Drosophila melanogaster: one gene and its partners. The protein of the gene in region 3 interacts with the protein of the main gene of each other region in a pairwise test. Each region holds a gene or a part of one and is shown on either strand. Other genes may lie near its edges. The genes, in order: CG14074, insb, CG8281 and dod.

Region 1 (3,659 bases), about 11 Mb from region 3:
CCAGGCCCTCCTGGATCGCACTGCTAAGCTTCTTTTTCAGGTTCCCGAACATCTTGCGACAACGGATCTCTATTTATTTAACTTAGCGATTTCTAATTGTCTTCGCGCTGGCGTTTTCCATCGAAAATTGAGTGGTAAATAAAGAATCAGCTGTTCGGGCAGGTGCTGAGAGAAAATCGGTCATAGAGAGAGAGAGAGAGCAACAGTTTGTTGCCGTACACGAGAGGCATATCAACTATGGCAAGAGCTCTGGCACGTGGTTTTTATTACTTACTAAAACTAATAAGTATTATTAACATTTCAAATTTTGCATTTTTATTTTATAATTTAAATAAAAAAATGAACCCAAAGTTGATATTATAAACAGACACAACAGGGTATCATTCGGTGGTATATTTAGTATATTACTATTAAACATAACTTAAAAAAAAACCAACCAAATATGAATCTATCTATGGCAGAGCTTATATCTGTAATAATAATATAAAAACAATATTCTTAGTTTGGTTCAACTTCAGTTTGTTTCCTTTAAAATTTCATTCTGATCTTACATAACGATTCTCTAACTAAAGTTTAGCCTAATTAATCCTCGGTCAGGTCCACTGTAGTGACAGCTGTGCTATCGTCCACTTGTTGATTTGTGCTATCCGATTGAGACGGATATTCAGGTTCAGACGCAGGTTCAGTTTCACATGCCTTTTTTTTGGGCTCTTCATGGTACTCAATTATCTCAATATCACTATTATCACCAGATTCTAGGGTTATACAGCTGCGTACGCTGTTCTTTGCTTCTGAATCTGAGTCCGAGCTTGATTTATTGCCGCTGGACTCGGAGCTCGAGCTTACTTTAATGGTGAGAACATTTGGCTCTTCGTCGCTGGATGAAATGGACAGGGCCTCGGGCTTCTCGGATTTGTCCACCTCTTCGTCGGACATAAGTTCCCGGAATATATCGCTTATAGGAGAGGAGGAGTGTTCCTTAGACTCGCTGGCTTTCTTTTGGCTGCTCGGGTTTAGTAATTGACCATAGGCCATGGCCACTGCAAGAGCCATTTGCTTGGAGTGGTTTAGGAACACATCTGAAGGCGGGGGTATACGTAACGACTCGCTGGGTGCGGATTCCCAATCGCAACCGCTGCTGCTCTGGCTGCTTCTTCGTCTTCTGTGTGATTTTTTGTGTTTTTTAACCTTCTTTTTGCGCTTTTTTCGCCGATGTGAACTGCTGCGACTTCGACTGCGGCTTGAACTTCTGCTGCTCCTAGTTCTTCTTCGGCTGCGATGCTTCTTGGCCTTTTTGTGGCGGCTCCTGCTGCGCCTTCTGCTGGAACTTCTGCTTCTATCAACACTTTGAGTTCTGGGTGCATCGCGGCTGTAAAAGTAGTTGGACTTCCTCCTTTCGTGCACATCATCCAGATCCTGCAGCTTCTGTCGGCAATTTGCCTGTGTGCGCTCCTTTTCTCTATCATTATGCCGAATCGCGGTGTTTATGGTGCGGCCTAAGAAGCGTTTGTTTAGTTTGCCCAGAGGATTCACTTTGCGTTCGCTTTGTTTCGAGGTGCTGACACTGGCATTTGCACCTTCGATCTCGCGCATTAGCTCGGCAATCGCCTGACTAACGTGAGAGCATCAAATTAATTAAAAATATATCGGATTGTAATATAAATATTTACTTTGTTAGGTCTGCGTCCATTTCCATTTTTTGTGTTTGTTTATGGCATTTAATTGAATACCAATTGCTGCGAAACAAAAAATACCGCGGACGGTAAGTGCTACTTATAAGTATTTTTAAAATACTAAGTATAAAGCGATTATTGTATGTGCGTTAAATTAGCGTCGATGAGTTCGCGGCGATGACGGAACGGTGGAAATCAAAACATGGGGACGTTTTTTATTTATTTATTTCTTTTCGTTATTTGGAGGTGAATTGCAAAAAATAAAATAAAGATCTTACTAACTATTCCCACATTTTCGGGAATTTCTCCACTCGTAGAGCGTGACCACTTTTAAGGACATTTCTTTAGGGAAACGGCGGGGCAGACGTCAAGACATTCGTTGGGCCACGGGTGACAGTCGGTCGGGCGGGGCAGCAGGTGGGACAGTAAGCGTGGGGAGCCAAGTTTTCAAGTGCATATTTCATATACTTTCTTGAGTCCTATGAACTTAAGTCGTACATAGGTAGTTAGATATTTTTTTAAACGTTATTGCATTTTTTTGAATTCAATAATGAAAGAATAAATTATTCAAAATTCCATCGTTCCTCCGTTCCTCCTACACTAGCGATATTCTTGTCGATTAATATTGTCAGAGTAATCTTTTCTGCAAAATACCACAAATTAGTCCAACGATATCGATTGGCACAATCATCGATTAAAGTTTAAAAAATGACGACCGGCCGCAATAAATTGAATTTCTAGTTGGTTAAAGTAACGTTTATTGAAGAAGATCACATAATCGAGTACGACTAATATCACAGGTGAATCACAATCTTTATGTTTCAGATTCCTGGCCAACTATTTCCTGCCGTCTATCACTTTCTGCATCCAGGACACGTATTTACTGACGCGCGTGTAGATTCCGGGCAAACCTGGACGTGCACAGCCGATCCCCGTGGACACCACGCCCACCAGATGATGCTCCTTGGACATCAGCGGACCGCCAGAATCCGCCTGTGAAGGTAAGTAAACCCGGAGCATAACATGTGTGCCGTATCAGCCAAGTGAATACTCACCCAACACGAGTCGATTTGACCGTTTTCATAACCGGCACACAACTGTGTCTCTCCAATGGTATTGCTCTTGCCCAAGGATCGGTAGGACCTCTCGCACGCCTCGTTGTTCCAGATCTTAACGGTAGCCTTGCGCAGTACATCGGATCGATCGTTTTCCGCTTGGTTCTCGTGCGTCCAGCCCCAACCGGAAACTGTTCCGTACTCCTGCTCCAGACTTCGGTGCCCCTCCTCGGATCCCACGCAGCTGGGCTGGATGTGTGAAGAGAATCGGATTGGCTGTACCAGCTCCAGGAGGGCTGTAAAAGAATAAAATACCAATTTGCAATAGCTTAAGGAATACTAAGAATAATAAGTATTATTTGATTCGTCTCTGATTCATTATGGTTAATGTTAATATCCTTTGTTGAAACTATTTCCTACCTATGTATTTCTGTTTGTTTTTTTAAAACCTAAGCGCATATTTTTAATGGTGTTTTACTAGATTAAAATTTTTTATTCATTTTACTGAAAAATAATGTCATGTTAATGTCATATTGTTGATTTATGATTCAGTTCTGTACATATGGAAAATAATTGAACCTGCAATTACCCCTTAAAAAACACACATACCTATATCGTGTTTCACATCGTTGCAGTCGTATTGCGGATGGGGCACAATGTTCTTGAAGTCCACCCTCAGTGCATCCGGACCGTTGCCAATCCCGTTGAGGTACTCCCTGATGCTATGCAAACCCACAACTCCTTGGATTTGAGCTGGTTTCATGAACTGCTGCAGCCCATTGCAGATGCAATGTCCCGCCGTGAGGATCCATCGCTCCGAGATGATAGTGCCGCCACAAAAGTGACCACCACGACGCATCAGACTGACCATGTAGGGCATTTCGTTGCGCTCCGCCTCACTACCTCCCACGATTTTTGGATTTCGAACCGA
Region 2 (3,276 bases), on a different chromosome or scaffold from region 3:
CGAATAAGAAGATGAATAAAACGATATCTTGTCCAAAAACCTTAAGAAACATTTACTTACATACAACCATGTGAAACGTTAAATTGTTAAAAACAATTAAAATCTAGTTTTAATGAAATATCAGTAATACAGATAATACAAAGGAATTACAACCATTTATTACAAATAATTATCGTTGTTACAAATTATACAGATAACTAATATGAAATTATAACAAATGCTACTTTAGGGCGATTCCCCAAGCCCCCAGATAATTTATGATACCAAGTTAATGAAATAACCGAACAACAAAAACACCCCGCCCTAACAACAATAAGAATATATACACTTATATGATATACATACCTACAAAATGAATTCAAAGAAATAATATATGGCGATTGAGTTATTCTCATTAATTATTATATGTAAAATTAAATAACACAAGTAATAACTAAATGAATAAATAAATATATTTAAAATGTATCGAAAATCGATGTAGTAGAGTGTTTTTTTATTCCCAGCTAGGATGGAACCCCCCAATCTTAATTAAAACCTCTTCCTTTATGTTTTACTTTCAATATACATAATTTATTTCGTTGTTGCTTATGTGTTTTATATTGCTTTACAATAATTGACTAGAGTAAATAGCTTAGGAATACCCAGATCCCTGTGTTGCATAATTTCCACCCCCGGAAAGTTCGCAACCCTTGGTTTCTCTCTCTCGTTTTACTTGCAATGAGATCGCAGCAAAGTGACTAGAATGAGGAGGAGTTCCTGCCCTCCGGTTTGCTCTCAGGCGTGCAGAAGTCCATCGCTTTGCCCAACCAATTTCCCAAGGAGAGTCTGGTAGAGTGGCGACTCCGTGGGTATTCCCTCGCTCTGCAGAAACAGCAATGTTTCTCTGGCACACATGGCAAAACCCAGTGCCTCCGCCTGACTCCTTTGGGCTGGCGTCGGTGGCGCAAACTGGGCCGCCACCTCGGCATCCTCGTCACTTTCCTCAACATCCTCCGCTTCAGCTCCGGCAGCCGCATAGCCATCTCGATCGTTTAGATCCTGCTCAAAGGCATCCAGCTCCGCTTGCAGCTCCATTATTTTTTGCAGCGCTTCCAGAAGGATTCGATTGGGGGCATCTGGCGGGTTGGGGCAATTCTGCCCTGGCTCTTCTGCTGGTGGAGTTAGAGGACGATGGCGTTTCTCCGGAACCGCTTCAGTCGGTTGCTGCTCCTGTTGCTGTTCCTGCGGCTGGACACGTTGCTCCTGCGCCTGCTGCTGCTCCTCCTGGCTGGCTCGCTTGCGCTTCATGATCAGTTTGCCCGACATGCTTAGAGGATGATCTACTAGACTTAAGCTGCAATCGTTTGGTTTTCCAACTCGCTCCTGCGCGACACAACCTTCGTTCACCTGGCGATCGCCACGACTGAGCTGCGACCAACTGCACCCCGGCGACCAACTGGCAACTGCCGACTCCAACCCCAAAATGCGGCAGGGACCAGAGATAGTGGCATTAGGGGATGTGCCGCGCCAAGGAAATTAAAAACAACAATCCATCGGCAACCAAAAAAAAAAAAATTGTTGCAGCTGTTTGAGTTGCGGCAGCTGAAGCGGGAGGGCAACAGGATACTGGCTACAGGCCACAGCCTGAACGGCAGCAGCAGGATATTGCAACCCTCAGCTGGCGCTGCCTCTCTCTCTACCTCTCTCTCTCTCTCTCTCTATCTCTCTCTCTCTCTCTCTTTCTCTGCCGCTGCAGCAGCCGCGCTCCGAATATCCTCCCTTCCTCCGTGCATCCGTCCTGCACCCCATCCCCCCGGGATCACAGGCGCGCCCTGCTCGTCCTTTCCGACCTTTCAGTTGTTGTTGTCCCGTGTCCGTTTCCTTTCGGTGCGGCATAGCCGATTCCCAAGTTACCTTCCTATGTCCTTTTTTTTAATAGGGTTGCATTGAAGGGTGTGTGCGAAAATAAAGCATTTTAATCAAATTTTCTTTTTTTTACATTTTAAAGCAGACATAAATAAATTATCAATACCTTACAATCTTGGGTAATCAAGTTTTGAGCGTATAAATTTTCATGAATTTTTTTTGAATGTATAAGTTGTCAATTTAATGACGAATTAACTTAATTGCTACAAATAAACGAATCTGGACTTTTAATTCAGTTGATTTCAAATGAGTTTCGATCTGGTTTTAGCGAACAACGACCGATATATGTAATTGCTTAAATTGCTTTTCTTGGCAAAACGTGCACTGCTGACGCACTTAAAGAATAAGTTATTCAGGTTAGACAGTTAAGCTATTTAGGTAATATTTAACGTATCCGTTAAGCATTGTATTCTACCAATAAGCTACCTAAAATTTTGTTTGTGAACTTTGATCACTTGAACTTTGATCACGATGCTTCTTTACGAATATAGATTTTCGTATTTGCATACAAAATTCGTTTAATGTGCATATTTGTAGGAGATTCCCCAGTGCGGTATGCCCGACCATGATAAGCATTTGCAGCTGGCACGCTTCACATTCATCTCTTCGATCGGCACTTCCCCTGCGAGTTAGTTTGACCTGCCACTGCAATGATAAGTGCACACCTAAAAGCACTGCGAGAAATTTTCGAATTTCGTTGTCATGGAAATTGGTATGCGGTATGAGTTAGTTTGAACGAAATCACGTTTACCTCCGTTGGCATGGAGAACCAATTCTTATCGGCTTTATTGCCGATTGTTAACGTAGTAAAGGTGGAGTGGTCCCAAAATGCTAATCGATAATGCTGTCAAAATTTGGAATGAACATAATTCGCTTTATGGTTTATGTCCGCGCATTGTGTAATCATGACCATAATTTAAAATAAAGGGATTTATATTTTGGGTTTGTTGGAAGGGGGAAGGGGGGAGTGCTGAAATATAAGATGACACCATAAATGAAGAATCTCCTGTCCCAAGAAAAAAAAAAAGAAACAATCTCATTGATAGCAATAAATGTTTATTTATGGTCAAGGAAATTGGGCATTATTCGATTTATTTGGGGCTGCGAATTTGACACTATCTCAGCGAATTGTTGTTTCGCAATTTCGGAAGGGGCATTTAAATAATCACGCCCAGACGTCAAGTCTGTGAACTTATGATATGGATGGATTGGATATTTGCATTTAGTATGTCGGCAATGGTGTGTGTACACATTATTTACTTGATAAGCACTTGATGTTGTTAAGGGCGTATCAAAATTGAATCATATATATTATTTTTATCTCATTTTTATCGTACACTTGACATTGTGTAATATTGCGTGCTGGTTTTC
Region 3 (3,397 bases):
CGGAGGTGGGTGACCTGCGCCTGCTCTTCAGCTTCGCGGGAATGGAGGGCGAGGTGTTCAGCGTGGTGGGCAAGCTGTCGGGCAACAAACTGGTGCCGTACATAACCTCCCGTGGCGTTCCAGTGCTGCTCGTCTATCCGGGTGGGCTCAGTGTCCAGGAAGTGTTCCGGTTGGAGGCTCGTGCCCAGGTCTTGCACACCTGGTGGTGGCGCTTCGTCGGCTGGCTGCTGATCTTCTTCGGCGTCACCTGCAACACCAAAATCCTTCGTCTGCTGTGTGAGTCCTGTATTTTCTAAAAAAATTGATCTCTTGTACTAAATGGTTATATCTCCTCCAGTTGTACGGGTGCCGCTATTGGTGGCCTTGGCACCCGATCCTCAGTTCCCGGTTACGGGCAACCTACTCATCGCATTTTCGCTAGCTCTGACCATTGCGGCAGTCGCCTGGATCCTGCATCGTCCTGTGATCGGCGCCTGCCTCTTACTGGCTGGCGCATCGCCTTACGTCTGGTTCACCCGCAATCTGGTCGACTACCATCGCCTGGACTAATCCATTTCAGAGTCATCTCAATATTATTTACAGGTTTATTTATTGTTGATTTTCATTGTTGAGCCAAATTGATCGCATTTGCCATTTATCCCTCGGCCAATAAAAACTTAACACTTAGTAACTAAACTAAAGTTAGAACTCCCTGATGCCCGCACTGGTGGTGGTGCTGCCCGGTGGCCCACCTCCTCCCCCGCTTCCGCTCGCTCCCGACACATTGGGCTTGGATTCGCTGGAGGTGTGCACACTGGGGCTCTGTGATTTGTCCTGCTCCTCGTGACCATTTGGCGTTTCTTCGTAGCGAACGTAGGGTTCGAAGCTGTTGTTGATTTGCACAGATCCGCGATGCAGATTGTTGGACTCGGCCTCGAAGAGAATCTCGTTGATGAAACGTTCGGCCAGAAGACGCTGCTCGCGCGGCAGTCGCTTCAGTTTGTGCGTCCAGGTGCGGGCGATGGACTCCTCCTCCGGATATGTGCCAGCCAAATACTCGCAGGCTATGTTGAGTAGTTCGTCGGTGTTGTGGGCGGTGCCTGTTGCCCCAGGACCGCCAGTAGATCCGGCTCCTGCTCCCGTACATGGCGGCGTTTGCCTGGCTCGCTTGCTGCTCCCATAATCCACATGGTTGGTTGCTGGCGGTGGCGGTGGCGGAGCTCCAAATGATTTGTGAAACATCTCGGAAATGTTGGGCGTCTGACCACCAGCGCGTGGTGCTGGATAATGGAGGGCTGCTCCCTGGCTCTCCAGAAACGCACTCGGGCAATTGCTGCTCTCACCGAAGGCGAAGTTGGGCTCGTTCTTAAAGGCGGGATTGACGGCTAGAAACTTCTCCGAGTTGCGCAGAAAGTCCAGCTCCTGAAAGGTCCAGCAGCGTGGACTGTGGAGGCTGCCCGATCGCAGGGCACTCTCCACCACCTTCAGCTCCTTGCGGTAGTTCGTGCGCAGTGTGTTGATCTTCTTTTTCACATCCTCCACGGTGGCGTCCCGCTTGAGATAATGGTATATGGGCACCAGGCGCAAATAGGCCTCCGCCCGCTTCTCCCGATTGGTGTAGTCCCGCAGCGATGTGTCCCACAGCACGGGCAGATCCCTGTATGTCTGGATGAAGGCGCGCAGATAGTGTCGGTTCTCCTCCGCTCCCGACATCACCTTCAATCCGTGCGGCGGCGTTTGTGGCAGCATTTTGCGCGGATCTCTGGATTACCCTCTGCCAATCCACGCCAGCTGCAGTCCTTGGCTATCTTCACCACTTCAGCGAATCCTGGATGGACCTATTGACCAACTGTCAATGCGAACGAACTGTGTTTGTTGTAATTGCGCGTTTGACAGATTGTTTGCCATATTGACGTAATGGTTGTGTGCGAGTGTGCGTGAGCGTGAAGATACAGCAACAAGTGCGGACGTAGTGGCAATGCTTGTCACTGGTATCGATACTTCGCCAGCAGTATTTATCGGTCAACTCGTTGTTATCAAGCGCGTATATTTAAACAAAGTAGCACAAAAGCAAGTAGTTTTAGGCATTCATTTATTAAATATATGAGCAAGCATACATAAAATTAACTGTAGCTTATATAGCTTGCATGAAAAATATGATTGGAGGCTACAACTGCAACAATAGTAGGATATTACCAAATTTAATTTATCGACAGGCCAAAAACAACTTAAACGAAGAAAACAGTTCTAATTGATTGTTAATATAGTGCAGCTTACAACTATTTTATAGCCATAGTCGTTTAATTTAGTTATATAGCATTACAGGGAATACCTTCAACCCCTTGCAAGTGTGACCATTATTTAGCGCCGATTGATTCTGGTATTTCGTTCATCACATTTGCGCGTATTTCTTGGCGCCCCCGCGACGGTTACACTGCGCGGCACACTACAGCGAAAAAAATTCGAAACAGACGCGTTTGTCCGTTGAGTTTTGATTTGTGATTCCGACGCGCAGCCGTTGAGCGCAATTCGCTTACATTGTTGATCATTTTGTTGGTTAAATTGCTAAAGCAGGTACGCGGTATCGCTAACAAGAGGACGAAGAACCGGGCGACGCTGCCTATGCGCGTCTGTGTGTGTGTGTTTTCGTGAGCCGCCGCTTTTTAATTAAATAATAAATAAATTGTAACAAAAAGTAGAAAAACAAACAAACATGGAAATGATGCGCGCTAAATGCATGAAAACAGCGTCCAGTTAATGAAAGTAAACGAATCGAGTACAAACGAATTATTTGTCTCCTTGTGCGTTCGTTCTATTGTGTTTCGAGTTCTGTTGGTGTGTGTTTTTGTGTATGTTCCACGAGTTGTTCGCCTTAAAAAAGTAACTGCAGAAGATCCATGGAAATGGAGACCATTGAAGAGCAATCGAAGTGCGGTGAGTACTGAAAGAGGGCGCGGGGCGTGGCAGCTCCAAATGGCCGGCGAATTTATCATTTTTCAATGTCGCCCAAAGGGGTTGGGTACGGGGTAAAACCACATTCGGGGCCAAAAGATCCTCATAAAAAATGTCGCTGCCAGCAAATGCAAAAAAATAAAATGAAATAACAACGACTATAAGTACATCTTTGTGTGTATTTGTGTGACTAAAAAAGCAACGGCATCGTGTCGCAGATATTTTAATCTTTTTTTCTGAATTTATTTCGGTGTAGAAAATATTTATCGCATAAATGCGAAATGCCTCCCTCTCTTCATCATCGTTTCCCCTCACTCTCCCTCTCTTCGGCGACACTGTACCGACAGCAAGAACAACAACAACAACTGAGGCGCCCTAACTGTTGTGAGAGTAAAAAGAAAGGACAAGCAACAACAATTTAAGCGATCAGTTCCTGTTATCATTGATGCGAATTCAGCCGTTTTTA
Region 4 (3,876 bases), on a different chromosome or scaffold from region 3:
AGTGGCGCATTTCAGCAGACGCCGCCGGTCCGCAGCCGCAGGATAAGAAGAAGCCTCACAATGACGTGGAGGCCATTATAGCCCAGGCCACCAAACAGCGCAGAAAACTGCTTTATGTCGAGAGCAGCAGCGACGACGAAGATGAAGATGAAGATGAAGATGAGGAGAGCGACGATGAAGGAGACGAGAAGGAGCAGAAGGAGGCGGCCGCAGATGATGCCGAACCCAAGGTGAAGAAAGCCAAAAAGGAGCCCAAAAAGCCAAAGGCAAAGGAGGAGGAGCCGGCGGCTCCGTTGGTCTCCGGAATCGAGGAGGCCGGCATGCACATTGTATTGAAGAAGATACTCAAGAACGATGGCAAGCGAGAGGGCACCCCGTTCAGCCAACAGCTACTCCAAAACTTGTCCTCCGATGTGGTAAGTACCCAAAAATCATGCCATCCGGTAACCGAGGGTATCTTCCTTTTTCCCAGTCATGAGAAACGCATCGTACTTTTGAGTTTTTTCTTTTATTTAATGACGTTTCGACATTCCTTTAGCTTTAGTCTAATAAATAAGTAGTCGCAAAGTAAACAGCTTCACTCAGATTCCAATTCCTAATTGCGATTCCCTTTCCCTTTTCAGCTGAAAGCCTGGCTGGGCGTCAACCGGGCCTGTTTTGTCCTGCTCAAGCTGGTGGAGGAGTGTCCCGCACTGCTGGACGACTGCAAGAAAGCCATCGCGGCGGAGAGGAGCCTTAGCCAGATACTCGCGGACCGTAAGACGCCCGGAGCCAAGCTACTGGCCGCCAAACTGGACATTGGCAAATGAGAAACGCTTCTAGCCTAGACAAGACCTAACATTTTAAAATACAATAAATAATTCTATATTGAAATGGCTGGGCATTCCGTTTTATTCATGTGAAGGGACGCGAGTTGTGCTGTGGGTCGGTGCTCGATGAGTCTATGCCTTGCGCAGGATGATGTGCAGGCCGGAGTCGCTGTCGACGATGCCCGACAGCTGGTTGACGTTCAATTTGAAGGCAGCGTCCTCGAAAGCCGCCTGCATCTGACCTGTGAGATGTGAAATGTAATTAGAAGCAGTTGCAGGTCGGTTGGGTGGCCTAAACTCTACGATTGCAAGTAGCTCGCGAAGTTATAGGTACAAAAATGTGTAAGGTAAGGAAGATTAAAAAAGAAATGCCGCGGAGCCAATTGCAAATAGTGTTTGTCTATAACTATGCATCTATAATCTATTAGTGGTCGATATATCTTCTCTTCTCTTCTCTTGAATATTGAAAACAATCAGAGCCTCTAGTGGAAGTACCAATCTGTTTCTGGATTGCGCCTCAAGTGGGAAGCGCCTTATTCCTAAACGGACACACATCGAGGACCACTCGATCCTGGACGTGTGACAAATGCACAGTGGGGAGATATACATACCTCTGCCGAACTTTCCCAGGTCGCCGCCCCTCTTGGCGGAGCTGCAGTCGGAGTAGGAGCGGGCCAGCTCGTCGAATGTGGCCTCCTGCTGGACGATTTTGTTGCGATAGACCTCGAGGAGCAGCTGGGCCTCCTCCTTGGTGCGCGTGATGTTCGCCTCGCGCCACGAGCTGGGACGCCGACTGCCCTTGTGCTTAACCAGCAGATGCAGGCAATGCACCTCGTCCGGTGCATCTCCGCCGCCGGCGGATCCTCCGCCCGCCTTCTTCGCCGGCTCTGTGGGCTGATCCCACTGCGACTCCTTTGTGTACATATTGAGATAATAGCTCATTCCTGCAAAATCAATCATGATCAATCAAGTGCAGGTTCAGTTTAGCGTGCCGGTTCCGCATTCCGCCGGAAAACCGCCGGCATGGCACGAGCGGGACTGCACACGATGCTTACCTGTGGAGCGGCTAGTGCGCTTCTCCCAGCCGTCCGGTAGTTGCTCGGCATCTGGCATGCTGTTTTCACTTAATTTGAGTTAAATTACAAATAGTTTTCGGAATAAAATAAACCACCAGTGTGACCGCGCCGAACACGCTTTGAGAACATCCATCAAAATCGATAGCGCCTGCCATCGACATATCGATACACATGGTGGCGAATTCGCCAAATAAGGTGCTGGCACGTGCTAACTGCGGTGGGTGCACTCGCTAACCGCAGATACAGCTGAGGCCAATATAATAGCAGCGAACTAACAATAATGTGCTGATATGTGCTATTCTGATATGTTATATGTATCTTTTGCCGAAAAATTAGCACATAACTTAATTAAATCTATTCCAATACCTCCTTCAATCCGCGACACGAATAGAGGAATTTCAATTTTTCTAATGTTTATTCAGGGGATTAATAAAAATAAAATAAATACGTGGGCATTTGTACAATTAGTTTTAGTGCTTCCTTGACTTTATTACAGGCTAGCTTTAAGTAGGTTAACATTTTAAAAGGACTAGCACAGGGGAGTAATCCTCTCAGCTCAGCGTATGTATATATATATATATATATATATATTGCGTATTTGTAGGCATATGTGATATACATACATATGTATGTATATTTGCATTCAATATACTCATGTGGTTTTCTCGCAGGGAGTGGGCGAATACTTGGCGTTCTTGGAGTTAGCTAATTATTTAGTTAGGGGCGGGAGCAAGTGAGCTAATAAAAAAATTTAAATTAATTATACAAAACAATTAAATACATTTTATAAAAGTACAAACACACGATCTTCACTCACGACCTGAAGGAAGGGCTTGGCTTGGCCCTTTCATTCTTTTTCCCTCGATACAATTTTGCTTTGTCATGTCTTCTGGGGCAGCTACTCTGTCACGGCAGCTGCCCAGCGCATCTTCCCAGCGAACAACATTCGCATCCGGCTAACAGAGGTCTAACTTAATGCTTAATGACCAATTTACAACTCGATGGGGCTCCTCTAACGGGCTAAGATTAGTGGGTAACACCTCTAAGGTGCCTCTATTCATTTCATAAAACTAAACTCACATTGCAGGCGTGCTCTTCGACTTCTGGTTAATAAATGCACTTCCCGAGGCCGATTCACTAGCTCTGACAGGGACTCGAAGGCGCCAATCGAGACAAGCAAGACAAAAACTAGCGCCTTTTAGGCGCTTTCCTTGCGGAGACCTAAATGGCCACATAGCGGCGGTGCATGAATTAGGGAAATTTAAAAGAACTACTCGACGATGCTCCTTCAGTTGGCTAAAATTATAAATACACCTTGAAGGCGCTCCAGCCGTGGAAGCACTTGGTGAAACGGCGCGACTCCTTGTTCTTCATCGTGAGGAAGAGCTTCCTCGGCCGCTCCGGCTGCTTGATCCGCATGTGCTGGATGTAGACCTGGGCGGACTTGTAGGCCAGCTTCACCTCCACCTCGCTGCAACGCGGTCCCATCCACAGGAAGACGTGCTCGCCGTTGTCCAGGATCATGATATCGTCGTCGGCCAGATCGTCCTGGCAAAAGTCGGCGCACTTCTCGGCCACCGTGTAGTAGCCGCGCTCGTTGGAGCACCGGAACAGCCGCGTGTAGTTCATGTACTCGGCGTCCGTATCGTAAGGCTTGCGGCCGCCCAGCGCCACCCAGAAGAAGTTCTCCGGCTCGTCGCCCTCGTTGAGAATCTGCAAAGGATGGATGAAAAGAAACGATTAACAAGAGCGTGTACCTTAATATAAACATATGTACAATATATTCCACAAAACAGCCCACTACATGGTTGAACCACATTAACACATGGAACCCACCTGTAAGCTCACCCACGGCGAGTTGAACATCTGCTCGGCAATATCCTGCACCAGTTTGGCCTCTTCGTTGCAGGCCTTGCTGCCTATCCACACGTACACAATCCCCGACTGCGAATCGTCCTCCGTTTCAAATGGCACATGGAGTATGTAGCTGA

Evidence for each region.
Region 1: the proteins of CG8281 (region 3) and CG14074 interact in a two-hybrid assay, tested with the Drosophila melanogaster proteins (one large-scale study listed by BioGRID).
Region 2: the proteins of CG8281 (region 3) and insb interact in a two-hybrid assay, tested with the Drosophila melanogaster proteins (one large-scale study listed by BioGRID).
Region 4: the proteins of CG8281 (region 3) and dod interact in a two-hybrid assay, tested with the Drosophila melanogaster proteins (one large-scale study listed by BioGRID).

Annotation. Positions count from the first base shown.
Region 1 is NT_037436.4:18,864,273-18,867,931, reverse strand, and holds CG14074 (uncharacterized protein), read right to left. Parts: upstream 1,708-3,659; 5' UTR 1,671-1,707; intron 1,613-1,670; 5' UTR 1,594-1,612; coding exon 583-1,593; 3' UTR 501-582; downstream 1-500. Other genes in the region: Dysb (dysbindin), read right to left, coding at 1-52; CG6865 (uncharacterized protein), read right to left, coding at 2,511-2,666, 2,729-3,024, 3,338-3,659.
Region 2 is NT_033778.4:17,474,662-17,477,937, forward strand, and holds insb (insensible), read right to left. Parts: upstream 1,612-3,276; 5' UTR 1,306-1,611; coding exon 775-1,305; 3' UTR 553-774; downstream 1-552.
Region 3 is NT_037436.4:7,910,938-7,914,334, reverse strand, and holds CG8281 (uncharacterized protein), read right to left. Parts: upstream 1,873-3,397; 5' UTR 1,729-1,872; coding exon 682-1,728; 3' UTR 572-681; downstream 1-571. Other genes in the region: Tmem43 (transmembrane protein 43), read left to right, coding at 1-276, 338-549; pbl (pebble), read left to right, coding at 2,877-2,913.
Region 4 is NC_004354.4:21,343,497-21,347,372, reverse strand, and holds dod (dodo), read right to left. Parts: upstream 2,016-3,876; 5' UTR 1,923-2,015; coding exon 1,865-1,922; intron 1,754-1,864; coding exon 1,421-1,753; intron 1,052-1,420; coding exon 942-1,051; 3' UTR 810-941; coding exon of another isoform or gene 624-809; 3' UTR 515-623; downstream 1-514. Other genes in the region: peng (penguin), read left to right, coding at 1-416, 624-809; fliI (flightless I), read right to left, coding at 3,188-3,598, 3,722-3,872.